7 linked regions of the Ovis aries genome follow. The protein of the gene in region 1 interacts with the protein of each later gene in a biochemical or structural test. Links are inferred from orthologs where the notes say so. Each region holds a gene or a part of one and is shown in the gene's direction. Other genes may lie near its edges. The genes, in order: DLG1, ADGRA2, PBK, TMEM178A, NET1, MTMR1 and GUCY1A2.

Region 1 (4,043 bases):
GACTCTGAAAACCCTATTACTTCTGGTTTTATGAACAAATGAAAGAATACTTACCTGGGAAAATAATCACTCTGTTCTTCTAGCCTTAAAGTCCACAAATGATGAATCAGATCAGTTAGGAAATTTGTTTTCCCAAGTGTGTCTAGTCAAAGAGGAGAGTCTCTAATATTTACTTTATTAATTTAGAGCAACTCACCAGATTTGTCTTCATTTTAGAATTCAATATAGTTTGCTATTGGATTGTACTAAAAGTATGTTTTTTTATTTTCTCATACAATATAAATTTCTCATACACTACTGAGAGAATAGTATGTCTGTTACCATTACAAGTTAATTTTGCTATTTCTTTTTACTCTCATTGTCTTCTTGTATATAACACAAAATTGAGCTTGGCATTGTTTTGCCTACCGTGGTACATTGTTTTGTTATCTACCTAAATTATATATATACTTTTAGGATCTGTTTATTTAATATTGATAATATCATTATAAGAAATGCAGACTTTTTTCTTCTTAATCTAGGGCCCTCTTTGATTATGACAAGACTAAAGACAGTGGCCTTCCTAGTCAGGGATTGAACTTCAAATTTGGAGATATCCTCCATGTTATTAATGCTTCTGATGATGAATGGTGGCAAGCCAGACAGGTTACACCAGATGGCGAAAGTGATGAAGTTGGGGTGATTCCCAGTAAACGCAGGTAAATATAAGTCTGTTAGAGTCTTACCACTTGAAAATTGGGCAATGTGAATAATTGCTGGGTTTTTTTTAAATTTCTTTTACTGAAGTGATGATTTTATGCTTGGTGTTTTATATTGTGTTTCACAGCCATTTAATTTTATTCACCTTGTATTGTAACTGGGCTTCCCTGATAGCATATTTGGTAAATAATCCACCAGTAATGCAGGAGACCCCGGTTCGATTCCTGTGTCAGGAAGATCCGCTGGAGAAGAAATAGGCTACCCACTCCAGTATTTTGGGGCTTCCCTTGTGGCTCAGGTGGTAAAGAACGCACCTGCAGTGTGGGAGACCTGGGTTTGATCCCTGTGTTGGGAAGATCCCCTGGAGAAGGGAAAGGCTACCTATTCCAATATTCTGGCCTGGAGAATCCAATGGACTGTAGAGTCCATGGGGTCACAAAGAGTCAGACACAACTAAGTGACCTTCACTTCCTTTCACTTTATATTTTAACCAATGATATAGTGAGAGAATATGAAGCCCCCAAATAGAAATTTCTCTAAAGTTCCTACTAGTTGTTAAAAACAAAGTAAGTATATTTTAAGTGCCTGTGCCACAGATCTATACCAGTAGAGAAAGAATTAAAAACCTCTATAATTTTCCCATGTGGTGGTTTAATTTCAGTCGCTAAGTCATTCCAACTCTTGCAGCCCCATGGACGATAGCCTGCCAGGCTCCTCTGTCCAGGGGATTTTCCTGACCCAGGAATCAAACCCAGGTCTCCTGCTTTGCAGGCAGATTCTTTACTGACTGAGCTATGAGTTTTCCCATGTAGGTGGTGTTAAAACTCAAATTTTCAGGGGTTTTGATTGTGTGAATTGCCTCTTCTAGATAAAAAAGATAAAGCATTTTAAATGCAAAATTTTAGAAATATCTAAAATTATCTTTTAGATATTTTAGATTTTTAGAAATGTTTATTTCTTTTAGATATCATCTCTTTTTCTTGTTTAATTTAGAATCATCTGTGCATTCAGTAGTCTTTCCTCTTTGTTTTAACTGATTATTGTAGTGATTCACTCACTGGTGCATACTTACCATCTAGTGGCATAAGTGGTTAAGTACAGAGTTTCTTTGAAAAAGGTGATCCCAACAACTCTCTCTGAGGTCAATGAAATGTTATTGGATGTCTCTACTTCTACGGGAAAGGTGTTAAAACATCAGTTCATAATTTCCCCAAAAGAACTTATATATGAGATCTGATTCAGCTAAATCACTGCCTAAAACTTAAGTTTTAAGATAACCAGTGAAAATTGTCAGAGAGTCATTAATGTTTATTTTAGCTAGTTAATTCACTTCAAGTCAAGCTTATGATATAATAAACTTGTTCTTTCCTTGTTAATAAATTGGACATATACTTATTTTGTTGAGACTCTAAATTGATACTTATGCCAAATCATATGCCTGTTTATAAACCTCTCTACCATATATATATTTGTACATCTGTTGATAGGCTTTGAAGAATGTTGAAATATTGTGAAGATCTCTGTAACTGTGGTTTTGGAATTTATGACTGTTGTTGGCTAGATCCATATTTTCAGCAAGATCCAACTATTTGGTGACAACTCCTCTTTTAGCAATGCAACCCTCAGCATAACTTCTTCCCTAGAATAGAATATAGTATCCTTTAAACACAGAAATGCTTCCTCTTTGCCTTGTTGAGTCAATAGAAACCTCACATCTTAAATATCAAGGTCAGAGTTCCTAAAAATTGCCTTTATCTCTGGAAATCTTTTATCTTGCAAAGGCTTTACATGTGTCTGCAACAAATGAGAAATACAGCTGACTTTGGTGGAAAGAGATATTTTTCATTTTGTATAAAAATTCTGTAAGGTTGGATTTTGAAGTCAAAAGTGATAAAAGAGATACACCTTGACACCTCTACAAATTCCCAAATTCGTGAATAATAATATAAAATATAATTTTCCTGCCATAAATTACAGTATGAAATCACAACCAATTATGCCATTTCATCCTTCAGTGTATTCTAAACTTGTATTTTTTTACATAGAATGCTATCATCTTTAATAATAGCACAAGGACTTGGAGTTCCTACAGTTCTTATCTTTCTTTCAGGAACAGTATTGACAAACACAGTTGAAGTCACTCAACTATTTAGTAAGCAAAATAATGATTAGAAAACAAAGCCATTTGAGTTGTAAATGTTCATTTACTAAATGTTAGTTTTTCAGTGCCCTGAATAAGTGCCTTGGCAAAATTATAAATTAATTATTCCTATTATGGACCCTCAAGGTTGCTCTGGAATAGTAAAAACAAAAATTTTAAATCTGTGACTGCTAGGGTTATTCTGTACCCATGGTAAAACTTTATAGTTAGATGATAAAAAAAAAAGGATATGCTTTTATTCATAGGCTTTTTGGTAGGTTTTTCTGCTATATACTAATATAATTGCTATGCTGAAATCAAGGATTTATAAAGCTTAATTTGTATGAAATTTTTCAAGATTCATACTGGTTGCAATATTCATACATGGCTGTAGATTGTACACTATATACGTTGTAGTATGTTGCTTGCTTGTTTCAAAAGTAGCACTTTCAACAAGGTTTAAAATTCAAAAGATTTTAACAGCTGTACAGGCCCCCTCTGCACCCTGTTCCCCACCCACCCATTTCACCTTCTTCCCTGAGAAGTTAACTAAGGTTACCATTCTGTATCCTTCCAAAGATACTTTAAAACTATATTTTATGTACTGTAAGTGGTTATTTTATGTATTTATAGAAATATATCATTGGAATTAAGCTTAAATGTTTTTGTTTCCCTCCTTTTTATTTTTAAAAATTTCAGAGCTGCAGAAAATATAAGTACAAAAGAAATACAAGAATAGTACATAGAATACCCATATTTCCTTCATCTACTTTCCTCAGTTGTTAACACTTTACTTCATTTGCTTTCGCTGTGACATTGAATTTTTAGCATATGTGTTCCATAAGCTAAATATTCAAAAACCAGAACAAATGGAAAACCTGGAAAATTGCTGAACTCAGAAGTGGTACATCATAATAATTTCAATATAGTTATGGATTTGAGTGTATATAAAAGTATACATACTTATACTTCACAGGTGGTTTTGTTTCATAATAAAATGAGCCCTATATTTCATTTCTCAGAAGTTGTTATTAATTGTGAGATGCAAATGACTTTTAAAGGCTTTAAAATATAAAAATGCTCCATATTAAAGTAGCAGTCCTGATGATTTCTAGTTAGAGCCTTGAATATGTTTATTATACTTAAAAAATGATCTGTGCTTTGCCAGGGTTGAGAAGAAAGAACGAGCCCGATTAAAAACAGT
Region 2 (4,043 bases), on another chromosome or scaffold:
TTCCACGGGGTTTGCCGCCTCGTTCGTCCATCCAAGGCCCTTCTGCACCCTCCCTGCGCCGGTCTGACCAGGGAGCCGGGGAGGCCGCGGGCACCCATCTGAGGGGCCAGGTCCTTCAAGCGGCCTCCTGGCCGCCACTGAGGACACCAGGGATTTCGAGGGCAATGGAGACCCCAGCCCCGACTAGGGCAAGAGCTGCCCACCCAGGTGGGCCATGTGCCCCCCGAGTGGGCGAGGTGTCAGGGCCCTCCGCTTGTCTTCCGCAGGGACCTGAGAAACAACATCATCAGCACGGTGCAGCCCGGCGCCTTCCTGGGTCTGGGGGAGCTGAAGCGCTTGTGAGTGGTGTGTCCTGACCACCGTGCCCCCAGGCCCCGCATCCCTGAAGGAGGTCCCGTGGATCCCAGTCACCCACCGTCCCTCTTCACCATACATTCGGTGGGGGGTGGGGGGCAGACGCTTCATGCCCCAACCCCATCCCCTTTTTCTCCGCTCCCCACACAAGCCCCAGCCTCACATGTGTGTCCCTCATGGGTGGACCCACGTGCTGCCACGTGGCTGACCTGCTGAGGGTCTGCATGTCTCTCCAGGGACCTCTCCAACAACCGGATCGGCTGTCTCACCTCCGGGACCTTCCAGGGCCTCCCCAGGCTTCTCCGGCTGTGAGTGCGGGCAGGGAAGGCGGGGGTGGAGGGTGGGGTGTGAGGGAAGGCTCCCCAGACCCTCATGGGCCCTGCATTCTAAGGGCTCACCCCAGCCCAGGGAGAACCTAAGATCCCGTCTCCCTGTTCCACTGCAGAAACATATCTGGAAACATCTTCTCCAGTCTGCAACCTGGGGTCTTTGATGAGCTGCCAGCCCTTAAGGTGGTGTGAGTATCCTTTCCCCAGGCCCTTGCTTCCTTCCTCCGCCAGGAGGGGGACACATAAACACTGCAACCACGTGGCCAGCCTTCTGAGGAGGTGGGGCTGGGCGAAGCCCCACCGTCTGCGGTGATGCAGGGCGCAGGCTCGCGAGCAGAGTTTGCCCTCTCCAGCCTCAGTCTATCCCTGGGGCTCCATCCCCACCCCGGGAGCCCAGGGAACCCCTCTGCTCTACCCTGGGTCCCTCCACCCTCTGCAGGGACTTCGGCACCGAGTTCCTGACCTGCGATTGCCGCCTGAGCTGGCTGCTTCCCTGGGCCCGCAACCGCTCCCTGCAGCTGTCGGAGCGCACGCTCTGTGCCTACCCCAGTGCCCTGCATGCCCAGGCCCTGGCCGGCCTCCAAGAGGCCCAGCTGCGCTGCGGTGAGCTGACCTGAGCCCTCAAGGCTCCCGAGGCAGTGGGCTTGGTCTCCAGGGCGTCCTCTCCCTTAGGCCCCACTGGGGACCCGTCCTCCATCCGATTTTCTAAACTTCCTGGGGGAGTGCTGCTTGGTTTATGGTTTTCATCTGGTCCCACCTCTTGGGGTGACAAAGCGTGCTATGGAAAGACGCACTTTTACTCGTTCAAAACCTGCCTGCTCCTCTCTTCTGCTTTAATCTCTGGAGACACTCCAGCCCCCTTCTTCTGAACTAGGGTGGGCTCCAGACAGAGGGGCCTTGTCCTCACCTGGCACTCAGGCTCACTCCCGGTGTCCTCGCCCACAGAGGGGGCCCTGGAGCTCCACACACTCCACCTCATCCCATCCCTCCGCCAAGTGGTCTTCCAGGGCGACCGGCTGCCCTTCCAGTGCTCCGCCAGCTACCTGGGCAACGACACCCGCATCCGCTGGTACCACAACCGGGCCCCCGTGGAGGGCGACGAGCAGGCGGGCGTCCTGCTGGCTGACAGCCTGGTCCACGACTGCACCTTCATCACCAGGTACAGGCCCTGCAGCCCCTTCTCAGCCCAGAGCATGGGCGGGGGGAGCCAGAACCCTCACCCACCCACCCACCCCCGAGAGGAGCTGGTCTGCTCCTGGGAATATCTGTGGGCGCGTTTATGCAGATCCAGAACTAAGTCAGAAATGGTCCGCGTGAGGGATACAAATTGAATTGTTGTTTTAGTCACTAAGTCATGTCCGACTCTTCTGCAACCCCATGGACTGTAGCTGCCAGGCTCCTCTGTCCATGGGATTTCCCAAACAAGAATACTGGAGTGGGTTACTGTTTCCTTCTCCAGGGGATCTTCCCGACCCAGGGATCCAATCAGTCTCCTGCAGTGGCAGGTGGATTCTTAACCACTGAGCCACCTGGGAAGCCCTACAGATTGCCTGATAGGAAAAAAGCTGATTAAATCTGACATTTCTTCAGTACCTTTACAAGGATACAGAGGGTCTCACCTATATTGTTGGACTTGCTCTCTGCAAACGTCTTGCAAGAGAGGTTTTATTACCTCCGTGATGAGGGTGGGGAGATTGAAGCCCAAAAAAACACTATCGTAAGGCCAGCATTAAGGGAGTATGAGCCTGTACCCTTGGCTCAGAGCCTGGGGGACTTCCTTGGTGATCCACTGCCGGGGGGCCCAGGTTCCATCTCCGGTGGGGCAACTAAGATCTTGCATGACTCAACTGAAAAAAAAAGAGAAAAGAGCCTGAAGCTGGCACCCGGGCGCTCAGGGAGGGTGGCGTGGCCGCCAGGAGCGCCTCCAGCCAGCCCTCGCCCGCCTGCCCGCCCGCCCGCAGCGAGCTGACCCTGTCTCACATCGGCGTGTGGGCCTCAGGCGAATGGGAGTGCTCCGTGTCCACGGTCCAGGGAAATGCCAGCAAGAAGGTGGAGATCGTGGTGCTGGAGACCTCGGCTTCCTACTGCCCCGCTGAGCGTGTCGCCAACAACCGCGGGGACTTCAGGTTTGGGACCACCCCTGGCCGTCCCCTGCCCCCAACCCAAGCCTCTGCGATGCGAGTGAACAGTGCCCCCACCTGCTCTAAGATGGAGAAAACACTTCCTCTTGTCATTCAGCTCCGAGTCCCGTTGGTGTGTTTAGAGAGACCATATATCCTTTTGTATAAAATCACCCTTCAAGATGTGCTGTGCAGAACAAACAGGGGTTTGGGGTTTCTTTTTTTGGGGGGGGGGTGCAGTTGCTTCCCTACGTGGATAGTTGACAAAACTCTCCCATGACAGATGTCACATTTTAATATCCCAGGGGCCTCTCCCTTAGTCAGGACAGGTGTTATTCTCCCATCCTACAGTTGAGAAGACTGAGGCCCAGAAAGTATAAGTGACCTGAAGTCAGGACTCCAAGGCCAGCCTCACAGCAGTGACAGCACTGTCCCAACAAACACAGCTTAAGAACTCAGGGGGAGCTTGGGAAGCCCTTGAAGTCCAGTCCACACGGCCTCTTCTGGACCCTGCCTCCAGCTCCCAAGGGGTCTGGCCTCACAGTTCTCAGGGCAGGGAAGGGACGGACCCTGGCCCTGAGGAGCCTGGGTCATCAGCAACTCTCCACCTCTGCCCCCAGGTGGCCGCGAACTCTAGCTGGCATCACAGCCTACCAGTCCTGCCTGCAGTACCCCTTCACCTCGGTGCCCCTGAGCGGGGGAGCCCCTGGCACCCGAGCCTCCCGCCGGTGCGACCGCGCTGGCCGCTGGGAGCCGGGGGACTACTCCCATTGTCTGTACACCAATGACATCACCCGGGTGCTCTACACCTTTGTGCTGGTGAGGCCGGGGCGGGGGTGGAGGCCATGGGGAAGGGGAAGGGGAGAAGCTGGCTGGCCCCACGGGGCTGGGGGCCCCTGCGTCCTTGGGAGGCACGGCGAGGAGCCACAGGGCCAGCACTGTGTCTCACACTCGTCTCCTCTTCCCGGGGATTCAGACTCCCCAGGGCCACACTCGGCACGGGAGGGCCACCCCAATCCTCTGTCCCCCAGTACAGCAAGGTCCGACTTAAGAGGAAAGCGTGAGGTCATCCCGTTGTCCTTAGGGGTGGCGCAGCCGGAGGGTGGCCCTGAGTCGTGCAGACCTCTCTTTACATCTGCCTCGCCCATCGGGATCAGACTCAGGCGTGGGCAGGAGCCAGATTGGATGGTGTCCTTTCCTCCCCTCTCCAACTCAGATGCCCATCAACGCCTCCAACGCA
Region 3 (4,832 bases), on another chromosome or scaffold:
TAAAAAACCCACTTGCAAATTCAGGAGTTGCAGTTCGATCCCTGGGTTGGGAAGATGCCCTGAAGGAGGAAATGGCAACGCACTGCAGTGTTCTTGTCTGGAACATTCCAGAGGAGCCTGGTGGGGTACAGTCCATGGGGTTACAAAGAATGGGACACAGCTGAGCAACTGAAAACACACAAAGAGACCATCTCTGCTTAGGAGAGGGTGGCCAAAAATGGGAGGGCCCTGAAGGTGGAGACATGTGTGTGTGGTGTGTGTAAGATGGAAGAGGTTTTGAACATATTTGTTAAAGAGGAACACTAAATTAAGCATGAGTTCAAATCCTGACTCTACCGTCTACTGGCTCTGTGACTTTAGGCAAATTACTTAACCTCTCTGTGCCATTTGGGTTTCCTCATTTGCAAAAAGATGGGCTTTTCAGCTATAGTTGCCTACATTATAGTCTCCTTTGTATTGTGTTGTGTGTGTGTTTCTTTCTTTGGACACTTCCCTACCCTTCCCTCATCCCCCTCTGCCTAAGCTCCTCCTGAGCAGGAGAGGGTTCTGTGACTTAATCATCTTTGTGTCTCTTTCAGTGATTGCTAGAGTATATCTTCTGCAGTGGGCATTCGACACATATCCGGCACATAGTAGGTGCTCTCTGGGCTTTCCTGGTGGCTCAGACAGTAAAGAATCTGCCTGCAAAGCAGGTGACTTGCGTTCGATTCCTGGGAGGGGAAGATCTCCCCGAGAAGGGGAAGATGCTGTCTAAATATTTGTTGAATAAATGAACACATCCCTTTGTGGCTCAGCTGGGAAAGAATCCGCCCGCAATGCGGGAGACCCGGGTTCGATCCCTGGGTTGGGAAGATCCCCTGGAGACTGGAAAGGCTACCCACTCCAGTATTCTGGCTTGGAGAATTCCATGGACTGTATAGTCAGTCCATGGGTTCGCAAAGAGTCGGACAAGACTGAACTGAACGTAGTGATTACAAGAGGTAGCAAAATTTCTGAGTATCTGTGTTTCTTCTCAGTCAAAAACTATTGCTACTCAAGACAGGGGCATTTTTAGTTACAGTGTTTCAAGGCCAAATTTGCAGTAAAAAAGACAAAACAGCCATCACACATTCTGGGCACAGCCGTCGTAATTGGGAAAGGATTTCAGTCTAAATACAGGCATACATTTTCTTTTTAACTGGAGTTGTCCCTTTGAAGGGCTGATAGTGGCTGCAAAAGTCAGTTCGTCCTTTGCTGCGCTTCTCTACCTTTTATTTGGCTTCAAAGCATCCCTATTGGGTAGTAAGGGAGAAGGAAATGGCAACCCACTCCAGTGTTCTTGCCTGGAGAATTCCAGGGACAGAGGAGCCTGGCGGGCTGCCATCTATGGGGTCGCACAGAGTTGGACACGACTGAAATGATTTAGCAGCAGCAGCAGCAGCAGCAGCAGCAGCAGCAGCAGCAGCAGCAGCAGCAGCAGCAGCAGCACTGGGTAGTAAGGTGGGATCTATAAACAGAGTGGAAGGCCTGAAAAGAACAGGAACGGCGAATCCGGCTTGGTGTGTCCTTTGCGCCTCCCCGTAGTTCGCGATCGACGTAGGGGCGGTGCGTGCGTGGTTTTGAAAGCCCGGCGGGTTCCCGTAGGAACAACGGTTGCCGAGTCCGTGTGTTGGCAGGTCGGACCCCACCCCTCACCCCAGGGGGCCGCGGAGCGTTGGGGGCCACTCGGGACCAGTTTTCAAGACAGCCTTTCCCTGGACGTCTCGTCGTCCTACCTCGTGGCTCTGGTAAGGAGAGAGCTTTTAGGGGTCCTGCTGCGAGTGGGCCTGGCCGGGAGTCCCGCGCCCCTCGAGCCGCGGCCTCTTTACTTTTTTGACAACTTGGGGCCTGGAAGGAAGGAGGAAGATGTTGGGAATATGCATTAAACTGAGAATTATCTTAGGAAGCATCTTGGCGACCCGCGTGCGCATCAGAATTACGGGGTACGGTGGGGATTCGAAGAAAGAAATCGCTCTTTTCTCAAATCAGAGCTTGACACTCTGTACTTTTTATGAAAGCGCCGTAGGAACCCTCCAGGCTCCTTTGTCCATGGGATTCTTCAGGCAAGAATACTGGAGTGGGTTGCCGTTTTCTCCTCCAGGGGATCTTCCCGACTCGGGGATCGAACCTCCTGCATTGGCAAGCAGATACTTTACCACTCATGCCACATGGGACGCCCAGGTGCTGTTTTTTAAGGGATATTGAGTGGCTCTATGCAGCATTTAAGCAAATGTTCTCTCTTCCTCTCATTTTTTTATGGACAATTCAAACGAGCTTACAGACAGGTAGTAACAGTTTGCTTTACAGTAAATCTAATACAAAACCAAACCTTTTTTCAAAAGAATAGTAATTATTTTTAATAAAAAAGATTTTTAAGGAAATATGTTACAGAAGAAAAAAAAAGCCTGTATTAACTTGCTTGTGTATACAGTATGTACATTGTATTTTCACAGATAATTTTAAACTAATAGTTTATTGAGATGTAATTAACATATCATGAAATACACTCTTTTGAAAGTGTTAAGTGGTTTTTGGAATAGAGTTGAATATATTAAACCACTACCTAATTTTAGAACATTTTTATCACCCCCAAAAAGATGGCATACACCCACTAGCAGTCGCCCCACATTCTCTCTTCCCTTCAGCCCGCAGCAACTACTCATTTATTTTGTCCATGGATTTGCCTCTTCTGGATATTGTGTGGAAAAACAATCATATAAGTGGCCTCTCCTGTCTGCTTTCTTTTACTTGGCATAAGCTTTTCAAGATTCTTTCATGTTGCAGTATACCTGAGTACTTCATTCCTTTTAATGACTAAATAATATTCCCTATGTAAAATATATACTCTGTCGAATAATATTTTATTGTGTGTAGTATATGCCATCTTTTCTATATCCATTCATCATCTGATGGCTATTTCTGTTTCCTTTTTTTGGCTATTATGAATAATACTGCTTACAAAGCCAAGCTCTTAAAAGCATATAAAAGATCTGTTAATAACCACTCCTGGGAAGTGGAGGGGGGGTACTAGGTGATTTTTTTTTTTTTGACCAAGTGCATATATTATTTTTTAAATAAAACAAAAATCCACAATCATTAATAGCATGACCTTGGGTATGTAATTTTACTTATCTTTAATTTTACTTTATCTTTTTCCCTCTCTGGGTTTCCGTTTTCTCATTGTAAATACAATTGGACTAAATATTTGTCATGGTCTTTTTCAGTTCTCAATTTTTTTGTAAATAAGTGATAGTATTATAGGAATTTTTTCTTCATGAATGAAAGATGTATTCTTTATAACTGCAGTGTACCTTTCTATTCATTTTTATCATAGGACCTTAAGGGATTATTACAATGGAAGAAACCAATAATTTCAAGACACCAAGCAGATTATCTGAAAAAAGGAAATCTGGTAATCTATAAAACCTTTCTTCATTGTTACTAATATCAGAAATGTCTTCATAGTATTACAGTTAAATCTTTTTATTGTTATCTATCACACAAGAACAGTTTTAGTATAAGTCATCTTTATAGTGTTGATCTTAAGAAATAAGACTTCTTTTATAGGTCAGAGTTTGGTCATCTGTGATCTAATTTTATTGACATTCTAGCAGATTTGTAGGTTCTCCCTGGTGAAGAAGCAATTTAACTTGAACCTCAAAGGAACTACTTTATCTTTCCCCCTCTATATATGGGAAGGGTATTTTCCAAGGCAATTCAATAGACACAGGGTAATTTGTCACTTCAATTTGACAAGAGCTTTGGGCTTCGTTTCTTGGTGCTGCAGCCTGGAAGGTGTCTCTAGGCGGTAAGTGAGGGCAGTGATAGGACTCACCTCATTAGTTTCTCTCCTCTCAGAGTTTATAGTCCTGCCCTGTCTATTGTGAAGTATGTGAAAGCCGTTATATTTTGTCAAATTTTCTAGTTGTTAATGGCAAAAGGGCAATCCAAGAGCAGTTAATTGTTCATGAGCAAAAGTAGGACTACTATATCTCATCTCTTTTAATAACCTTATACTACTCTGTAATATAGATGTGCTGTAATTATGACTCTAATGATGATTACTTAGGCTTTTATCTCTCTCTCTCTTTTTTTTTTTTTTTTTTGTAGCTCTAAAACCAGACCCCACTATTTGCATGCGTACGTTCACGTGTGTATATGGTATCTTTGGCTGCATGCCGTAGTGCAGGCACTAGCAAACTTTTTGTAAATGGCAGATAGTAAATGGTTTAGGCTTTGTGGGTCATATAGGAACCCTTTTGGCATAGTCTTCTTCCTTTCTTCTTTCTTCCTTGCCTGCCTCCCTCCCTTCCTTTCTTCTTTCCTTGATTTTTGCCTAAATTAGTCATTACTGTGATTGCTGAAAAATGATATTAATAAAATTTATTTTCTCTGTGATGCTTTGTATGTGTCTCTGTCACCTGAAGTCTTGTTTACTATCTCCAGAAGGCTCAGCTCCTGGAGAAGCTGAAGGTGTGTTTAGAAGGGTATGTTCCAGGAAGAGTTAGAGGTTTGGAGTCCAGACTAATGTAATCAAGTACACTGAATCTGTCTCTGTTTCCCCTGTTCTGGCTCCAGAGAAATAAGACAGTCACTGGTGAGACTGCTGCCATTCTGTGTAGTTTCTATACCTTGAATTCTCTCATCTCTAGGATCCTGTCCCTAATTGTCTTTGTTCTGAGGCCTCCTCGGGTTCTTTTCTTTCCTGGACATGGAATCTAGTTCTTCTGTTTTGAAACCAGATTTGAATTCTTGACTCAGTAACCCTGGCTTCTTAAGCAAGTTGTTCTCTGGAATCAATTCCATGATAGGAG
Region 4 (4,043 bases), on another chromosome or scaffold:
TACATGCTGCTGGCCTATATTTGTAATGTGTGACATTTTTTATGAAATACTGTCAAGGGTAATCCATCATATAGTAACCTTTGGATTATATGCTGAGACTGGTTTTAAACATAGACATAAATGAACTTCAAGGATAATGCTGTTTTCAGAGAAGGGTATGATCAAAGGGTTCTGGCTAAGAAAATAAAGCAGAACATTATTTTCTTTTAAGTTAGACAGTAGTGCCTGAGAAAGAGTTTTCCTTCTGTTGGCTCCAGCTGGGGACATGGTTATTGTGTGAAGATAATCAGGTGACTCTGAAATGTGGCAGAATATTTATTTGTTGGAGTACATCAGGATTTGTAAAGGGAGTGAAGAGTTGCTTAAGGTTTGACTATCCTTGGGACTTGCAAGGTTTGTAATATCTTGATCTCAAGAGGCATTTCCAAAAAATAAAAGGACATATGATAACTAGAGTGAGTTTCAGATATCAGCTGTGAGTTCACAGTGAAAGATATTCTTTCTGTGTATCCATAAAGATTGAGGATTTTACACATATTATAGAGTATAAATAAAAGCAAGCTTCTAAGTCTCATCATTTTTTTGTGTAAATCCAGATAAGACTCCTTTGATGAGCTTAGCATTTCCTGTTAAGGAAAAGCTTATAGGTGAGAGGAACACTAAAATTATAATTCTTTGTCTTCCTTAATTAGACTGAAGCTCACCATAGATCTTGCTGAGACAATCCAAGTAATAATTCACATTGTCAGGTCAGCAGAAATAGGCAGGGGGTGCCCAATATGACTGAAAGATTTGCTCCAGTGATCTATCTGTGAAGGGAGGTACACAGCCTTCATGGGCAATATACCCTCTGAAGATGCTGAGTATAAACAGCAATGAAAACAAATCCCAGGAAGATTCTTATACCACCTTTACAGAGGTCATTTCAGAGGAAATATATAAATCATATTCATACCAACTGATATGGGGCACTAATTAGTAAGTCCCATTAAATCGTGGAGTAATGTCATTTAGCGTCCAATGAATGCCTCATCACCTTTTGATCATTAACATGGCAAAAGAACACAAAACTTGGTATCCTTGGGCTCCCACAGCATGGTTTTCTGTCTGTGATGTGGCCCCCTGGGCATTAAGTGGCAGGAGGGTATTGCTCCTCTATCATCAGATTCCACACAACACAGCGATTAACTCTTTCAGGACCCTGAGTCCTAAGGTTTCCTCATTTTAGAAAATGTGACTCTGCCTGCCATTCTCAATTAATGCCTCCGAGTGCCCTAGAAAGCAGAAGCAAGCTGAGATGTTGACTTTGGTGTGTAGTATCGCTCTGCTGCTGACCCTCCCAGCCCATGTAAGTTGCACAGGAGGAAAAAATAAAAAATCATCCCCTTGATTTATTACTAAGGACTTTATTTATTTAAGGACAACAATCACCTCACAGACCAGGTGCCACTGCAAGGGCTTATTGATCACTATAGACTTGTAGAAATTCCAGGAGGCCGTCATTCCAGTGGGAGATGGAGGTGGTCGACGAGAAAGAAGTCCATCTCTGAGCAGGCTGGAGTGGGAGAAAAATCTCTGGCCATTGGTCCATCGCTCTAGTGACACTCGGTGTCTTTTCTTTCAGAAGAGGGTCTGGAGCGGAGAGAGCGCTGAGAGGTTGCCGTGGGCGAGGAAGAGGGAAAAGCGGGGGATGACCGGGTGACAGAGCCGCCCAGGGGTCTGAGAGGCTGCGTTCTTCGGTGGAGGGACAGAGGGTCTTCGGCTCCGGATCCAGATTCCTGAGTTAAGTATCACCGCGCAGCCCGACCCAGATGGGATTCGCTTCTGGTTACAAAACGGGACACTGATCAACATCAACTTGGACAAGTGACAAGACTGAGTCTGATGTGGGTGGATGTCTTTTCAGGTCGTCGGAGGGGAGAGGACGGCTGAGCGCTCGTGGGTAGCTGGGGAGAAGCCTCGCGGCCAGGGCAGGGACAGAAAGGGACAAGAGCGGGGAGACAGGGACGAAGAAGAGGGAGGACGAGTTGAAGAAAAGTAGGGGCAAAGTAGAGACTGGGTGAAGGGGAGAGAGGAGGGGACAGGGGAAAAGTGAAGGTGGCGAGGAGAGGGATTCGAAAGGGAAGAGGAGTCTCGGGAGAGCAGGGCGGAAGCATCGATCGGGCGGTGTGGACAGCTGGGGGTGAGCAGGGTAGGGGGGCTCCAAAAGGGAGGGGAAGGGGCTGCGGGAGCGGCGGTGCAAGCGGGGTTGGGGGCAGCGAGCAAGTGCTCGAGGCGCCGGGTGGCGCGGAGCGGCGGGCCCGGGAGGAGGCGGGCGCGCGGTCGGAGGGAGCCGAGGAGGGAGCGCGCCGGGCCGGGAGCCGGAGGCCGCGGGCGGCAGGGGGCAGGTGGGGGAGCTCGGGAGAGAGGGAGCGGAGCGAGCCGAGGCCAAGTGCATTGTGTCTGGCGGCGGCGCGCGGGCCCACCGGCGGCGGGGCGAGCAGCCATGGAGCCGCGGGCGCTCGTCACGGCGCTCAGCCTCGGCCTCAGCCTCTGCTCCCTGGGGCTGCTGGTCACGGCCATCTTCACCGACCACTGGTACGAGACCGACCCCCGGCGCCACAAGGAGAGCTGCGAGCGCAGCCGCGCGGGCGCCGACCCCCCGGACCAGAAGAACCGCCTGATGCCGCTGTCGCACCTGCCGCTGCGGGACTCGCCCCCACTGGGGCGCCGGCTGCTCCCGGGCGGCCCAGGGCGCGCCGACCCCGAGTCCTGGCGCTCGCTGCTGGGGCTCGGCGGGCTGGACGCCGAGTGCGGCCGGCCGCTCTTCGCCACCTACTCGGGCCTCTGGAGGAAGTGCTACTTCCTGGGCATCGACCGGGACATCGACACCCTCATCCTGAAAGGTGAGCGCCGGGCGCGCCCTGCGCCCCAGGCGCCCGCTAGCGGAGGGCAGCTCGTGGCTCCCCAGGGGCGCCGGTCCCCACGGCCGCCTCCCCGCCGCGTCCCTGGCACACTCTTTCCTCTTCCCCGCCGCCTCCTTTCTTTATCCCTCTCCCTTTCTTTCTCCGTCCCTCCCTTCTCTCTGGCTCTTCTTTCCCCGACTCTTCTTTCCTCTTCATCCTCCTCTGTCTCCTTTGCTTCCGCGACCTCCTTCCTCCCCCTTTTCTCCTCTCCTCTCTCGTCCTTCGCTCTCTTTGTACACCTGCCCGACTTGGAATGCATGTGACGATTGCCGCTGGCGAGGAAGGGAACCCTCAAAAAGACCCAGCCTTGCCCAGTTGGGCTCCTTCCCTCAAGTTGTGCTTTCCTTTCAGAAATACCTTTGGAAGAAAAGTGGTGCAAATCTCAGAAGAGGAGGAAAGGGCTTTATTCTTGTACTGATTTAATGTTGGTAGCAGACGGGACTGATGTGGTCATGCCAGTCTGACAGGCTAATGGGGAGCTCAGGAGGCCGGAGGAACCTTCCTCTAAACCCCGAAGTGCGGGGTTCCTTTGGGTTAGACCTCAGACGACAGTAATGCCCTGGTGGAGGCAGCTGAATGCAGCTAGGACATCGACTGTTTTGCAGCCTTCCTCCTGATGGCTGGGCGCACCATCCTCAGTTCAGGGCGAGCAGAGTGGAAAACCTGCCCAAGCCTTTTAAAGTAGAGCTTTTTGTATTTGCACACGGAGTCTCTACAGAATCACCCGCTCAGATTTTGATACTTTGTTAGGCTGTTTTGTTAACATCAGTTTGCTCTTCTGAAGTCTAGACGATACCTGGCTCCCAGGCGTGTTGGATCCTTTGAATTTATTTATTTATTTATTTTTTGTGATCTCGTTCAGTGTGACAGTCCTATTGCTGAAGCTTTCTTCTAGCTGTCAGAGCTTGACCCTTATGATAAATTCTTTTCCTCTGAGACGGGGGAAAACAACAACAACAACAACAACAAAAAGCCACGTTCTTCCCTGGAACTCATTATTGCAAAAGAAAAAAGAAGACGTATAAAATCAGTGCATCTAAATCTTTAGTAGCCATTCAGGAAAGCAAAGAAGCAGATTTGTGTTGAATTCTGGTTTGG
Region 5 (4,617 bases), on another chromosome or scaffold:
ACAGGGCAGGAAATGACCCCACCTGAGGGTTATACACTTAAAGCAGCACAGCCTGTTTTCAGTTTTTCACTTTTCTGGGGTCAAAGGAGGTGTGACAGGCCTGCCTGAGACCCCTGAGCTAAAATCTGTGCACAACCACTGATGAATTTGCTTAAGTTTATCCAAATCTGCTTTGACTATACCAAAGCCTTCAACTGTGTGGATCACAAGAAACTGCAGAAAATTCTTCAAGAGATGGGCATACCAGAGCACCTGACCTGCCTCCTGAGAAATCTGTATGCAGGTCAAGAATCAATGGTTAGAAATGGACATGGAACAACAGACTGGTTCCAAATCGGGAAAGGAGTACGTCAAGGCTGCATACTGTCACCCTGCTTATTTAACTTATATGCAGCATAAATCATGTGAAATGCCAGGCTATATGAATCACAAGCTGGAATCAAGATTGCCAGGAGAAATATCAATAACCTCAGATATGCAGATGACACCACCCTTATGGCAGAAAGCGAAGAAGAGCTAAAGAGCCTCTTGATGAAAGTGAAAGAGGAGAGTGAAAAAGTTGGCTTAAAATTCAACATTCAGAAAATAAGATCATGGCATCCACTTTCATCACTTCATGGCAAATAGATGAGGAAACAGTGGAAACAGTGAGAGACTTTATTTTCCTGGGCTCCAAAATCATAGCAGATGGTGACTGCAGCCATGAAATTAAAAGACACTTGCTCCATGAAAGAAAAGCTATGACCAAACTAGACAGCATGTTAAAAAGCAGAGACATTACTTTGCAAACTAAGGTCCGTCTTGTCAAGGCTATGGTTTTTCCAGTAGTCATGTATGGATGTGACAGCTGGACTGTAAAGAAAGCTGAGCAATGAAGAATTGTGCTTCTAAACTTTGATTTCAGAGAAGACTCTTGAGAGTCCTTTGGACTGTAAGGAGATCCATCCAGTCCATCCTAAAGGAAATAGGTCCTGAATATTCATTGGAAGGGCTGATGCTGAAGCTGAAATTCCAACGCTTGGCCACTCGATGCAAAGAACTGACTCATCGGAAAAGACCTTGATGCTGGGAAAGATTGAAGGCAGGAGGAGAAGAGGACGACAGAGGATGAGATAGTTGGATGGCATCACCAACTCAATGGACATGAGTTTGAGTAAACTCTGGGAGATAGTGAAGGACAGGGAAGCCTGGCGTGCTGCAGTCCATGGGGTCACGAAGAGTAGGACAGGTCTGAGCGACTGAACTGAGCTGAAAATGCTTCCCAGTTTCCCTTGACTTGTGGTGAAAGTCCTAATGAACTGTACACTAGTAATCGGGCCTTGGCGATTTAGGAACTAGACCCCAGGCCTCTGGCTCATCAGCCGGGCGACCCTGTGGACCACGCTCCCCCTCACAGCTTCCGAACAGTTTAGCGCCTTAAGGAAGGAGAGGGGCGGGACTCCACGATCCTAGCAACCGCGCCGCGTCCCCTGATTGGCTGGTGTCCGCACGGCCGCCATTTTCAAACCCCGGAAGATGGCGGCGGCGGAGGTGGCGGCGCCGTCCTGACAGGAACCCGTCTTCGGGCCGCAGAGGCCGGGCGCCGTGCCGCTCCCAGCGGGCCTCCCGGGCACCCAGCCACCGCGCCGCCCCCTCCGCGCCATGGAGCCCGAGCTGGAGGCCCAGGAGCAGAGCCGGCCGCGGAGGCGAAGCCGCCGGGCCTCGGGGCTCAACGCCGGCGGCGCCGCGGAGCCAGCGGCCGACACCCCCGGGCCCGGCCCGGACGGCAGGTGAGCGCGGGGTGAACGGCGCCTGGGGACTCGGGTTGTGGGGCCCGAGGCTGGGGAGGGGGTGGCGGGCAGGGAAGGAGCCGGGGGTAGGGGAGAGCAGGGCTGCCTGCTCTCCTCTGCTTCCTCCTCTCTCCCCTCGTCCCCCTCTTCCGATCGCCTGACCCTCCTTTATTTTTACCTCCCGTTCCTCTCCTTCCTCCCTCTCGTCTCCCCTCCCCGCTCAGGGGGTGGAGGTCCTCTCTGCACACCCAGCAGGTTTCGGGCTGGATTTGGGGGTGGCGGGGGCGGTTCCTAAATGCCCACCGAGAGCTGCTGGCTAAGAGGACTGGAATCGTTCCTGGAGCCGGAGAGTTTCTTTTGTTCAGTCGCTCGGTCGTGTCCGACCCCTTACGACCCCATGGACCGCAGACCGCCAGGCTCCTCTTGTCCAAGGATTCCCCAGACAAGAATCCTGGGATTCTTGTGATCCATTCTCTTCTCCGGGGGATCCTCCCAGCCCAGGCATCAAGCCAGCATCTCCTGCATTGACAGGCGGATTCTTTTACCATTGTGCCACCAGGGAAGCCCCCGAGGACTTCTACCAGACACCAAACTTTTAGCCTAAAAGCAAGCATTAAAATGAAGAGTTTCGCCGAGGTCACAGTCCCTCCTTTCGAGCCTCTGACCAAGTCGGTGATCAGGGCGCAGCTCAGGACCCCAGCCTCCCGGGTAAAGAGGACGCAGAGGCCCATCTTGGACTTTTTAGCTATTGACACATTTCATTCTGTCCTGTGCGTCTGCGAAGGGAGGACACCGGCCGAGGGTGTCAGAGGCGGTGTCTGCGAGGCGAGCGGTGAACGAGGGCTGGGGGCATTGCTTTCCCGTCAGGATGCTGCAGGCCCTGGGTTCCTGTGACCAGCCGTTGGACCTTTCATCTCTAAGGTTGGGTCCTCATCTGTCATATAGGGTTGAAATAGTATCCACTTCCTCCAAGTTGTGCAATTCAGTGAGGTCATTGTGTGAGCCTGTATGCAAGGAGTTAGAAACAAACTGTTATTTGCTGATTTTTATCAGTAATTCCACATCTGCTTCTCTTTTCAGAAGTCCCTGTGGTCCACTACTTATTCTTAAACTACAGTTCCTTACTGAAGTTACATTCCAGTCATGCTTGGATGTGCCAGTCATTTTTTCAGAGAAAGGAAAACACCTTAATTTCATGGACAGAGCATTTGTAAACTCACAGTTAATAAGTCATCGTGCAGAGAATTAGACTTTTTCATTAGATATTGATTTTTTATTTTGAAGATTAGGATAATCCTTGCCTGAAACCTTTATACTGATTACAACTTATATTTAAGAGGTAGTGAAAAAGCAGAAAGACGTCATCATCCCAGAGACTGAGAAATAGGAGAATCAGGACCATGTAGTGAAGGGAAGAAGAACAGTGATAAATTCATTCTGTGTTCATTCAATAAAGCTTTTGAGCATTTGCCTGGAAAGATCCCCAGAGGAGGGCATGGCAACCCACTCCAGTATTCCTGCCTGGAGAATCACATGGACAGAGGAGCCTGGAGGGCTACAGTCTGTGGGGGTCACAGAGAGTCGGACACGACTGAGCAACTAACACTTGCACTTTCCTAGATCTTCACAGTGTTGCAGATATTAAGAGATTTTGGTGAACAGATGAAGTCTCTGCTCTCATAAAGCTTACATTCTGGTTAGGAATGAAAGACGATAATGAAATACCAGGTGGTCATCTTGTGAGGAGAATTAAGGTATGGTAAGGGCAGGCATCGGAGAAGGCAGTGGCACCCCACTCCAGTGCTCTTGCCTGGAAAATCCCATGGACGGAGGAGCCTGGTGGGCTGCAGTCCATGGGGTTGCTGGGAGTTGGACACGAGTGAGCGACTTCATTTTCACTTTTCACTTTCATGCATTGGAGAAGGAAATGGCAACCCACTCCAGTGTTCTTGCCTGGAGAATCCCAGGGACGGGAGAGTCTGTTGGGCTGCCGTCTGGGGTCACACAGAGTCGGACATGACTGAAGCAACTTAGCAGCAGCAGCAGCAGCAGGACAGGCAGAGATAAGGAGAGGGGCAGTTTTGCCTTTTTTTTTTTTTTTTCACTTTATTTTACTTTACAATACTGTATTGGTTCAGTTTTGCTATTTTTAAAAGATCAAACAGTTCTCCTCCATGGTAATGATGCCATTTAAGCAGAGATGTGAAGGAATTAAGGAACTCCACCATGTGAAGATGTGGGGAGAAAGGCAGTAAGTACAGGGCTTCAAAGTAGAATCCTGTTCGGTGTGTTCAAGGACTGTAGAGAAGCCACGGTAACTGGAGTGGAGCAAATTAAAGTGAGAAAGGTGGACAGCGAGGTCACAGAGATGCCTGGGTCAGATCGGGTAGTACATGGCCAACCACCAGAAAGATTTCAAATTTGAATCTATGGTTGGGAGACAATAGAAAATTCTGTGATGTGTAGTTTAAAAGGATTGGTCTGTTACGTGGCAGGGAGAAAATCAGGGAGACTAATGAAGAGGTTACTGCAGTTTGAGACATCTGAGTGGTAAACATGGTGGAAAGTACTCCTATTTGGGATGTATTTTTAAAGTAGCACTGACAGGATTTGCACATGGATTCAGTGTGGAGTTAAGAGAGACAGAGGAATGGAGAATGATTCCGAGGTTTTTAATCTGAGCACCAGAAGACCAGGTTTCCGTGTTCCTGGAGAGAAGTTTGCTTTGGGATGCGTTAAAAGGCTCCTATTAAGGAATGCATCACAACAATTTTTTCCCCCTTTTCTCTTTTTTGGCTTTTTTCTCTTGAAAAAAAAAAAAAAAACTTTCATTGAAGTTTAACAGTCA
Region 6 (4,657 bases), on another chromosome or scaffold:
TGGAAAGTCCCAAGATCAAGATTCTGGCAAGGTTGAGATAATTGGGACAGCTTTTTTCCTGGCTTTCAGAGAGCTGCCTTCATGCTATGTTCTCAAATGGCCTTTCCTCAGTGCGTCCTTGCAGGGAGAGTCCAAGCTCTCTGGCATCTTTCCTTAGAAAGGCACAATCCAAACATTTTAGGGCACCAGCCTTATGACCTAATCACCTCCCAAAGGCCTCATCTCCAAATACCTCAATACCAGTTTGATGGTTAGGGCTTCAACATATAAATGGTGGAGGTAGGGGGAGAGACAAACATTCCATCTGTAATACTTAAGCATTTTATTTAATAATTTTGGAAAATCAGAAGCCAGCAAGAGGTGGGTCTCCAGTATATCTGGAAATCTGCCCTTCCTTCCTCCTAACTCTTCTCACCCTGCCACCCTTTCACCCAAGTCTCATCCACTCTTGGGTTGTTAGGGTTTCAAGCATCACATTCTCACAGTTCAGTTGGAAGTTATCAATGTGAGAGGGCAAGATGGGTTTGGGATGGGAACTAATAACTCCCTGTCTACAGGTCTACCTTTTATCAGAATGCAAACTATTGCCTTTATATTTCACTGGCCAGAGTTTGGTCAGAAGTCATACCCAGGACAATCACAGGCAAGGGGCAGTAGCCATCATTCCCACCTCCAACTAAATCAGGGGTGGGTAACGGGCTGTGAGCCCATTCGATATGCAAACCCTAATAGAATGGTCAGGAAAATAAATATAAAGCAGGAATTAAATATCCTAAATGCCTTTATCATCAGATTTGGACTTGATTTCCGCAAGCGGTGATTTAGCCGACAGAAGTTACACGTTGCTGATAATATAAACTAAGGGCGGATGTTCCGAGGGCGGCATCAGAACACTTGGTTGCCCTACAGATGGCGGGGAGGTGGCTTTGTGGGTGCGTGAAAGGGCGGCTAAGAACGGAGTGAGGGGAGGTTGCTAAAATGTATGGGATTGCTCGGGGTTGGAGATGTCAAGAGCAGGGAGGCCCACGGGCGTTGGGGCTTCTCCCACCGCAAAACTTTTCTAAGGAAGGAAAACTGATGGAAAACGAATTGTACTGAATACTAGAATTACTTTAAACTTTTTTTCTTCTTTAACCCTGCATCTAGGAGTTTCCCGAGCAAAGCGCGTTCTGCCTAAGTCGTGGGTCGATTTCGACCCCGAGTGGCTTGGGACGTGTCCAGGTCGCCCGGGCCTCACCCCGCCGGCTGGCGGGCCGGTGGCCCAGGTGGGGCTCTGGCGGGGCTGGGGGTAGGGGGCTGGGGACCAGGCTCCGGGTCGCGCACCGCCCTCCCCGCCCCCCACCCCCACGCGCGCGGCCTTGTGGGTAACGCCGGGCGCCAGGTGACAGCTAATGGCGGCGGCCGTCTGAGCCGGGCGGGCGGCAGATCGGGGCCGCCGGAGGCGCGCTGCCGGACTTTCCGGGGCGCCGCTCCCCTCCCGATTGCGGCTTCCCCGCGGCGGCGGGCTCGACGCGCCATGGACAGGGCGGCGGCAGCGGCGGCGGCGGCGGCGGCGGCGGCGGCGGCGGGCTGCGAGAGCGGCGGGGGCCTGGGCCTGGGACCGGCGGGCGGCAGGAGGCCCCCTCGGGTCGCGGGGGGTCCCGCCGTCGGCTCCCGGCAGCCCAGCGTGGAGACTCTGGACAGGTAAGCGGGGCCCTGCCGCCCCCACCACGCCCCGACTCCCGAGGGCCCCGCGCGAGGCCCGGCCGCCCCTTCCCCGCTCGCCGGCCTGAAGCCGAGCCGGGGAGTCCGCCTCCCGTCTCCCCTTCCCTGTCCCCTCCCTGTCCCCTCCGGAGCCCCGCGAACCCCTGCCTGGTCGCTGGTCTCGCACCTGGCTCGTTTTCACAGCTCGCGGAAGCTTCCCCGCACCTCGAGGGGCTTCGCAGCTGTCAAACCGCGGCCCAGGCCGCCTCCCACTGCACCTGGGAGCCGCCTCGGCGGCCGATACCCCGGCCACAAATCGTTGGGAGGCATTTTCATCACGGCGCCCTCTTTTTCGCATGACCTTGCCTCGAGTGATCTCAAGATCCAAATCCCGCCGCCGCTGCTTGGGGGCTTTGACGTGGGGATTGTGAGGGGGTACTGGGGGGTGGAACCCCGTGGGTGTCGGAGCTGGTACAGATGGAGGCAAAGATACCCTCATTTCGATGGAAAACTTCCAAACTGCTCCTGATGCAAGAACACATCAGCGTTTACTTTCAGTTCCTCACACTTTGAAGGGACCAGTTCATTGTTTTCACAAACACGTAAGGCCACTGCCTGAGAACTAAGCCCACAGGCAGAGAACTAAGATCAAGCAGTTAGAAGCATAAACCGACCAGATCTAAGTGGGAGGGCCACCCTGACCCTCTGAGGACAAGAGTTTGGTGATCCCATCTCCTGGAGTATGTAGCTTTCCCTCATTTTGGGCATTTCACTGACACTAGAGTGAGTTAAGGCATCCCGGTCCTAAAGCCCCTAGGACAGTTTTAGATGTTGGTTCCTGCCTTAGTCACTCCAGTGAGATAAACTTTGGGGAGTTTCCAAAGGCATAGGAACAACAAGAAACACTCCCTTTGTGTAATTACAGTATGTTTTAATAAAGTCATTACCCAAGTGGTCAGCTTCTCTGAAAACTAATCACAGCTAAGATAGTGGGCGGAATGGTCAGGGTTGCACTATCTGTAGATACTCTATGATGTATGAGTGCTTGGAGAATTAGAGAGTAATGGCAGACGGCTTTTGCACTCTGGCTTAACATCTAGTGGAGAATACAAATAAAACAGCCATTGAAACCAAATGTGATAAGTGCCAGGGTGGAGGTGTGCTTGGAATCGCTCTGGATGACATGTGCATGGGAATCATCTGAGAAGCTATTTAAGAACTCCAGGTGGCCAGACCCCACTTCTGAGGCTTCTCATTCAGGAGATTTGGGTGAGGCCTAGGTGTTAAAATTTTTCAAAAAGGGCTCTACCACCTCAGTTGTGATCCACTGCACTATGGTACCCAGAGGTAGGGTATTCACTTCATTTTTAGTGGTAGGGACGGACAGGGTGCACTGTTTGGCCACTGGAGTGAAACGTGTGTCATATCCTGGCTGGATGCTAGATGTGGGGAATGGGTAGTAAAGGCCTGTAGGAAGGCAGGGGCTAGATCCTGATGGGGCCTGTGTGCCTTCCAAGGAGCCATGCCTTTGTCTTCTGGGCCAGTGCTTCTCCACACAGCTCTGTAGAGCCTGAGTCAGAATCACCTCTAGTGCTTGATTCAAATACAGACTCTTGGGTCCCACCCTAAATCTGATCCACCACCTCCTGGGTAGAGCCTGAAATTCTGCATTTTTAATAACCACCCTAGCTACAAGTAGACTGGAATCTGTGGTCTCTTTGGCTCCAGATGGTACAGAGTACTGGTTGGGCCAGTGAGATTATCAGTAGTATGCTTCTGCAACTCACACTGGTGTCCTGGTTTGGAAAAGGAATTATATGGTCACCTAGTTACGGAGGCCACAAGAGGAGTTTCATCAGGGGAGCTACAGGGTGGCCTCTGCATTTGAGAACAAGTGCCATGCAGTAGTGTTGTGAAGGGACTGGAGGCAGGGTGGTCTCATTGAGTTAGGTTAAGTAGGTTCTGGAAATGCTCCTCTCTCAGTCATTTATTCTGTGAATATGAGAACCTGCTCTGTGTCTGGCACTGTGCTAGGCCTGAGGATATAGCTAGGAACACGCACACACAAATCCCTGCCCTCGTGGGTCACCATTAGTGGGAGAGAGAAACCAAAGACCAAATCACATGTGTTCTGTGTTAGATGGTGATAGGTGTGGGGGGACAAGAGTCATCCGGGAGGGATAGAAGTGGCTGGGGTGTGCACTCTGGGCAGTGCTGGGAGTGTGGTGTAGGGTGGTCAGGGAAGGCCTTTCGGAGAGAAGTGGCATTTCAGTAGTGCCCCTGAAGAGGGGCCTAGTCATGCGCATAGCTGGGTGACAGCACTCTAGGCTGAAGCCTGTGTCACCAGCACAGAGGATGCTGGGGAGACGCAGCAGAGGACAAAGTCAGGTCACAGGGGCCACAGACGGTGGAGTGGGTGGCGTGGAGCAGAGGAGGGACAACACCTGGTGTAGATTTCAGTAAGGTCTCCATGGCTGCTGTGCGGATGACAGACCGGAAGGGGAAGGAGTTGAATCAGAGAGTCTAGCAGGTGGGAGGCTGTTGCAGTCGTCAGAATGAGAGAGGATGGTGGCTTCGAGTGGAGCCGCGGGCTGGAGGAAAGGAGAAGTGGTCAAGCTTAACATATCATCTGAAGGACATCTGCAGGGTAGAGCCAGCAGGGTTTGCTGCAGGGTGGCAATTGTCTAGGAGAAGGGGAGAATTGAGGACAGTTCCAGTGTCTTTAGCTTGTGGAAGATGGTGTGGCCGAGATGGAGAAGCCTCTAAGTGGAACAGGGTTAGGAAGTTAGCAGGCACTCACCCTGGATAGAACAGCAATGAGATGTCAGTTGGATGTCCCAGAGCAAATATCAAAGAGGCAGTTGGTTTGTTTAGGCCTGGAGTTCAGAGGTGGTGTCTGGTTTGGAGACCTGAATTTGGGAGTCACTGGCATAGAGGTGGAGCTTAAATTCATGAGGCAGGAGAACCCGGACAA
Region 7 (4,043 bases), on another chromosome or scaffold:
AACTCTTTCATCTGTGTGGTGTTCTTTCTCAGGGCGGATCTTACTATTGATAGATCATATATGATCCTGCTTGAAATTACTATATAATGCATTGTGTATATTTATTTATCACTATAATTCCATTATTAAAAGGTAGATTTCCTTTTGCCATGGCATCTGGGAATAAGTATGAATGGAGAAAACTTAACAAAGACTTTTAACTCTGGTCAGATTCCTATTCCAGGGTTGTCTGCTTTCATTTTTGTGAATGAAGGAATGAATGCAGATCATTCCACAGTTTTAATTCCTTGTTTTGTCTCTTCATTCCTGGGGTCTAGATGACCTGCATGGTTTTTTTTTGAGATTACTATTGTAACTTAAGCAATTCTGTCTGTTCAAGATAACCTGGTGCTTGTCTCTGCTTGTGTACCATAGAGTCCCTCTCTGGTTATATTTCCCATTTAACAAATGAATTGTGATAATTAATAATATTGAATGGATATAATAGCATCTTAAAATTATTCAATGGTGAGGGAAATTGCTAAGTAAAATATAATATTCATGGTAATTACAGCGAATGGGATATAATATTGAAAAACAGCTAGATTAGCAGGTTTTAAGAAGATCATGCTCCAGGGGTTAAGGGGACCCAGGAATGAATAGGTGGAGCACAACAGATTTTAGGGCAGCAAAACTACTCTGCATGATACTAAAATGGTGGGCACATATTATCACACATTTGTCTAAACTCAAGGATATATAACATCAAGAGTGAATCCTAATGTAAACCATGAACTTTGGATGATAATGTTATATAAATATAGGTTCATTGATTGTAACAAATGTACCACTGTAGTGTACAATATCAGTAGTTTCCAAGGGAGGAGGTTGTGTCCGGGAAGTGAACGGGAGTACGTGGACAATATATTCAACTAAGTTTTCCTATGTATCTAAAACTACTCTAAAAATAGTATATTTAAAATTAAACAACAACAAAATGTTTATGCTCATTAACATCTTAGAAGCATCCAGAAGATGAACTGAAATTTACTTTCTCTAAATCAAAATGAATGACTTAACGTATTGGGGAAATTTGTGTACCCAAGGGGACTGCTTCTCTTGCTTTGGTCACTAGCTACTCTTCTGATAAACATTTAAAAAGCTATAAATTCAATTACTTAAAAAAATAAATTCAATTACTTGTATTATATCTTATTAACATTTGCTTCCATTTACCTCTAGGTTTGAAGTTTGAGGAAATCCAAGAAAGATTTGGTGAGGAGTTCTTTAATATATGCTTTGATGACAATGAGAGAGTCCTTCGAGCTGTAGGTGGCACATTGCAGGACTTTTTTAATGGCTTTGATGCTTTGTTGGAACATATTAGAACTTCTTTTGGAAAACAGGCCACTCTAGAGTCACCATCATTCCTATGCAAAGAGCTCCCAGAAGGTACTCTTATACTCCACTACTTCCACCCTCACCACATTGTGGGGTTTGCAATGCTTGGAATGATTAAGGCTGCAGGAAAGAAGATCTATCGGCTGGATGTGGAAGTGAACCAGGTCGCTGAGAAACTGTGCTCCGATGGTTCAAACCCAGGCAATTGTAATGGCCTCGCTTTCCTTATCAGACTATGTGAAAATGCTAATATCACGAAGAACCTTCCTCAGGGAACATCCCAAGTTCCTGCAGACCTCAGAATTAGCATCAACACCTTCTGCAGAGCCTTCCCTTTTCACTTGATGTTTGACCCCCACATGTCAGTCCTTCAGCTGGGGGAAGGCCTAAGGAAGCAGCTCCGATGTGACACTCACAAAGTGCTCAAGTTTGAGGACTGCTTTGAGATCATTTCTCCGAAGGTTAATGCCACCTTCGAAAGGGTTCTGCTGCGCCTCTCCACCCCATTTGTGATTAGGACCAAGCCTGAGGCTTCTAGCACTGAGAATAAAGACAAGGTAAGTGGCCATGTTGATATGGGTGAAAGGAACTGCGAGATTTCATACTTCTTTTAGTATATTACATGCTGGCAGTACTTATAATTATTTAGGCAAGAGAACCTAGAGTGCCATTTAGAAAATTACTGGTTTCTGGATATGTATAAAAAGACTTGACCCTATTCCCAGCTGTTTTGCATATTGTCTGCCTCTTTCATTAATCTATTTCATCACACAAAAAGCAGACATTTATTATTACTAGCCATAGTAATTACAAAAATGATAGGATTTACTAAAGACCTGATATTATAAATCCGCGAATATTTCCACTGATTGAGTCAAGCTCTGAGAGAAATAGTAAGACTCACTTCAACATTGTGGGAATTGCTTGCCTTATCCTTAAATAAATACAAGTAAAAGCTAGCTACACTTTGAATATGTTATGTTCTAAATTTCACAACCTAGGAACTCTGGTTTACATCCTATTTTTCTTAATATGCAGAACAATATATTAAGTGACTATATCAAAACTTCTAATTAAATTTTAGTGTTGAAAATAGGCATTTCTTTAGAACATTTTCACTCCTTGAGAGAATACACTGGAATTATTCTATTTTTTAAATTTAAGGAATATTAAAGCTGTGATTTTTGCTTTCTAGAAGTACAGTATTTGGCTGGGAGGGATTGAAGCATTTTGAGCCTTAAAATTGAAGGTAATATTATCGAAAATGTGCTTGAAGTAAAATATATTGTTGTCAATGTTGATTGCTTTATATATTTTATAGATTTTAGAACAATCAATTCAATTTTAAGTTACTGCTTCAAGTCCCCCCCCTATATTTCATCTGGCTTGTATGTCTATTTAATTTGTATATCACAGTAAGAAATAGACAAAATGAGATGATGACTCAAATGTCAAGGCCCCCTGCAAGTTCCAATAATAAGAAACTGCTCATTAAGAAGATCCAATTATAATTTAAATATGTTAGTAGCTGTTTAAAAATAAACTAGCAAGAGACAGCATTTTTATTTAAAATAGGGATAGCAATCCCTTGTTCTGTTTACATTTCTGCTTATTCACCTGGGTTTGCTAGAATGAGACATTCAAGAGGCTACAGTTAGTCCAAACGAAATTATAGTCAATAAAGTTATGACACGGAATCTTAACCAGATGAGTGATATTTTTCAGTTATTTTAGTGTCAAAATTATAGTTTTCTAAAACATGAAAAGAAGAAAATCAGAATTAAAAATTATGATCCTGTTGATAAATTTGGCCTTGATTCATGATTTTTTTTCTGTAATTGCTGGCCTTGTTAATAGTTGTCTGAAGTTTCCAGTTTTATATTGGACTTTTATAAGAAAGTGCTATTTTTCAACAGTGTAAGATATTTAGTCTTTAGTCTACAGTGAAGGCTTTCTTTGGAATGTAACTATTTTAGCTATGCACATACTACCAATTATCTACCACCCCCTTCCATCAAAAAGAAAAACAACAACAACAACAACAAAAAAAAACAAGAGCTAATCATAAGCTGAATGACGGTAAATCATTTTCAGAGTGAACTGTATTGCTTTCACTAAACCATGATCTTTGTCGTTTTGTGTTGTCAGTTAGGGTTAACTATGTAGCTAGAGGCAGAATACTCCTGTGAGCAATTTGGTGAGGTAGTCATCATCTTAGTTTCGGAGAATTTATATCTTTATTCTGCAGTAATAAGGTCCAAAGACATGTGTTGATTACCAGAAGCAAGAATGTCACTGAGGGGCATCAAATAGATTTCCAAAGAGAGGCAAAGGGGAATCTGATTTTCGACCAGGAAGAGCTCAATCTGTTATTAAGATTAAGTTAAATATTCCCTGACAAATTAGGCTGCCTATCTTAGAGAGTTATTTGAAAAGATTAAATGATATAATCCATGTAAAATTCTTATATCCTTGGCTTCAGGGTTAAGTGTTGATTAAATGCTCATTATTATTAATTCTACCATTGTTATAATTATTGTTCCTTTCCTTTTGTAATATTCCTTCTATCCATTCACCTCTCTTCTTGCCTTATGGAAGTAAGTACTGGAGATCAGTAGGTTGAGTAATTTTGGGGAAGTACCAGGTCTGCCTAACATCATCAT

What was found.
Region 2: the proteins of DLG1 (region 1) and ADGRA2 form a complex in vitro, tested with the Homo sapiens proteins (2 studies listed by BioGRID and IntAct, with this or other methods). The link is inferred for Ovis aries from reciprocal best matches to the Homo sapiens genes DLG1 and ADGRA2.
Region 3: the proteins of DLG1 (region 1) and PBK form a complex in vitro, tested with the Homo sapiens proteins (2 studies listed by BioGRID and IntAct, with this or other methods). The link is inferred for Ovis aries from reciprocal best matches to the Homo sapiens genes DLG1 and PBK.
Region 4: the proteins of DLG1 (region 1) and TMEM178A interact in a test that uses a peptide from one of them, tested with the Homo sapiens proteins (2 studies listed by IntAct, with this or other methods). The link is inferred for Ovis aries from reciprocal best matches to the Homo sapiens genes DLG1 and TMEM178A.
Region 5: the proteins of DLG1 (region 1) and NET1 form a complex in vitro, tested with the Homo sapiens proteins (3 studies listed by BioGRID and IntAct, with this or other methods). The link is inferred for Ovis aries from reciprocal best matches to the Homo sapiens genes DLG1 and NET1.
Region 6: the proteins of DLG1 (region 1) and MTMR1 interact in a test that uses a peptide from one of them, tested with the Homo sapiens proteins (2 studies listed by IntAct, with this or other methods). The link is inferred for Ovis aries from reciprocal best matches to the Homo sapiens genes DLG1 and MTMR1.
Region 7: the proteins of DLG1 (region 1) and GUCY1A2 interact in a test that uses a peptide from one of them, tested with the Homo sapiens proteins (2 studies listed by IntAct, with this or other methods). The link is inferred for Ovis aries from reciprocal best matches to the Homo sapiens genes DLG1 and GUCY1A2.

The regions. Positions count from the first base shown.
Region 1 is NC_056054.1:192,365,148-192,369,190, reverse strand, and holds part of DLG1 (disks large homolog 1), read left to right. Parts: intron 1-521; coding exon 522-698; intron 699-4,007; coding exon 4,008-4,043. UniProt on the Homo sapiens protein: Essential multidomain scaffolding protein required for normal development. Recruits channels, receptors and signaling molecules to discrete plasma membrane domains in polarized cells.
Region 2 is NC_056079.1:32,184,979-32,189,021, forward strand, and holds part of ADGRA2 (adhesion G protein-coupled receptor A2), read left to right. Parts: intron 1-266; coding exon 267-338; intron 339-590; coding exon 591-662; intron 663-799; coding exon 800-871; intron 872-1,122; coding exon 1,123-1,286; intron 1,287-1,628; coding exon 1,629-1,842; intron 1,843-2,644; coding exon 2,645-2,809; intron 2,810-3,423; coding exon 3,424-3,622; intron 3,623-4,019; coding exon 4,020-4,043.
Region 3 is NC_056055.1:102,233,760-102,238,591, reverse strand, and holds the start of PBK (lymphokine-activated killer T-cell-originated protein kinase), read left to right. Parts: upstream 1-1,627; 5' UTR 1,628-1,766; intron 1,767-2,036; 5' UTR 2,037-2,199; intron 2,200-3,352; 5' UTR 3,353-3,372; coding exon 3,373-3,430; intron 3,431-4,522; coding exon of another isoform or gene 4,523-4,606; intron 4,607-4,608; coding exon of another isoform or gene 4,609-4,683; intron 4,684-4,684; coding exon of another isoform or gene 4,685-4,832. UniProt on the Homo sapiens protein: Phosphorylates MAP kinase p38. Seems to be active only in mitosis. May also play a role in the activation of lymphoid cells.
Region 4 is NC_056056.1:84,529,110-84,533,152, reverse strand, and holds part of TMEM178A (transmembrane protein 178A), read left to right. Parts: intron 1-1,624; 5' UTR 1,625-2,485; coding exon 2,486-2,885; intron 2,886-4,043. UniProt on the Homo sapiens protein: Acts as a negative regulator of osteoclast differentiation in basal and inflammatory conditions by regulating TNFSF11-induced Ca (2+) fluxes, thereby controlling the induction of NFATC1.
Region 5 is NC_056066.1:42,755,076-42,759,692, reverse strand, and holds the start of NET1 (neuroepithelial cell-transforming gene 1 protein), read left to right. Parts: upstream 1-1,509; 5' UTR 1,510-1,641; coding exon 1,642-1,769; intron 1,770-2,553; exon of another isoform or gene 2,554-2,637; coding exon of another isoform or gene 2,638-2,690; intron 2,691-4,617. UniProt on the Homo sapiens protein: Acts as a guanine nucleotide exchange factor (GEF) for RhoA GTPase. May be involved in activation of the SAPK/JNK pathway Stimulates genotoxic stress-induced RHOB activity in breast cancer cells leading to their cell death.
Region 6 is NC_056080.1:84,853,785-84,858,441, reverse strand, and holds the start of MTMR1 (myotubularin-related protein 1), read left to right. Parts: upstream 1-1,386; 5' UTR 1,387-1,516; coding exon 1,517-1,683; intron 1,684-4,657. UniProt on the Homo sapiens protein: Lipid phosphatase that specifically dephosphorylates the D-3 position of phosphatidylinositol 3-phosphate, generating phosphatidylinositol. Could also dephosphorylate phosphatidylinositol 3,5-bisphosphate to produce phosphatidylinositol 5-phosphate.
Region 7 is NC_056068.1:16,133,728-16,137,770, forward strand, and holds part of GUCY1A2 (guanylate cyclase soluble subunit alpha-2), read left to right. Parts: intron 1-1,221; coding exon 1,222-1,937; intron 1,938-4,043. UniProt on the Homo sapiens protein: Has guanylyl cyclase on binding to the beta-1 subunit. Isoform 2 acts as a negative regulator of guanylyl cyclase activity as it forms non-functional heterodimers with the beta subunits.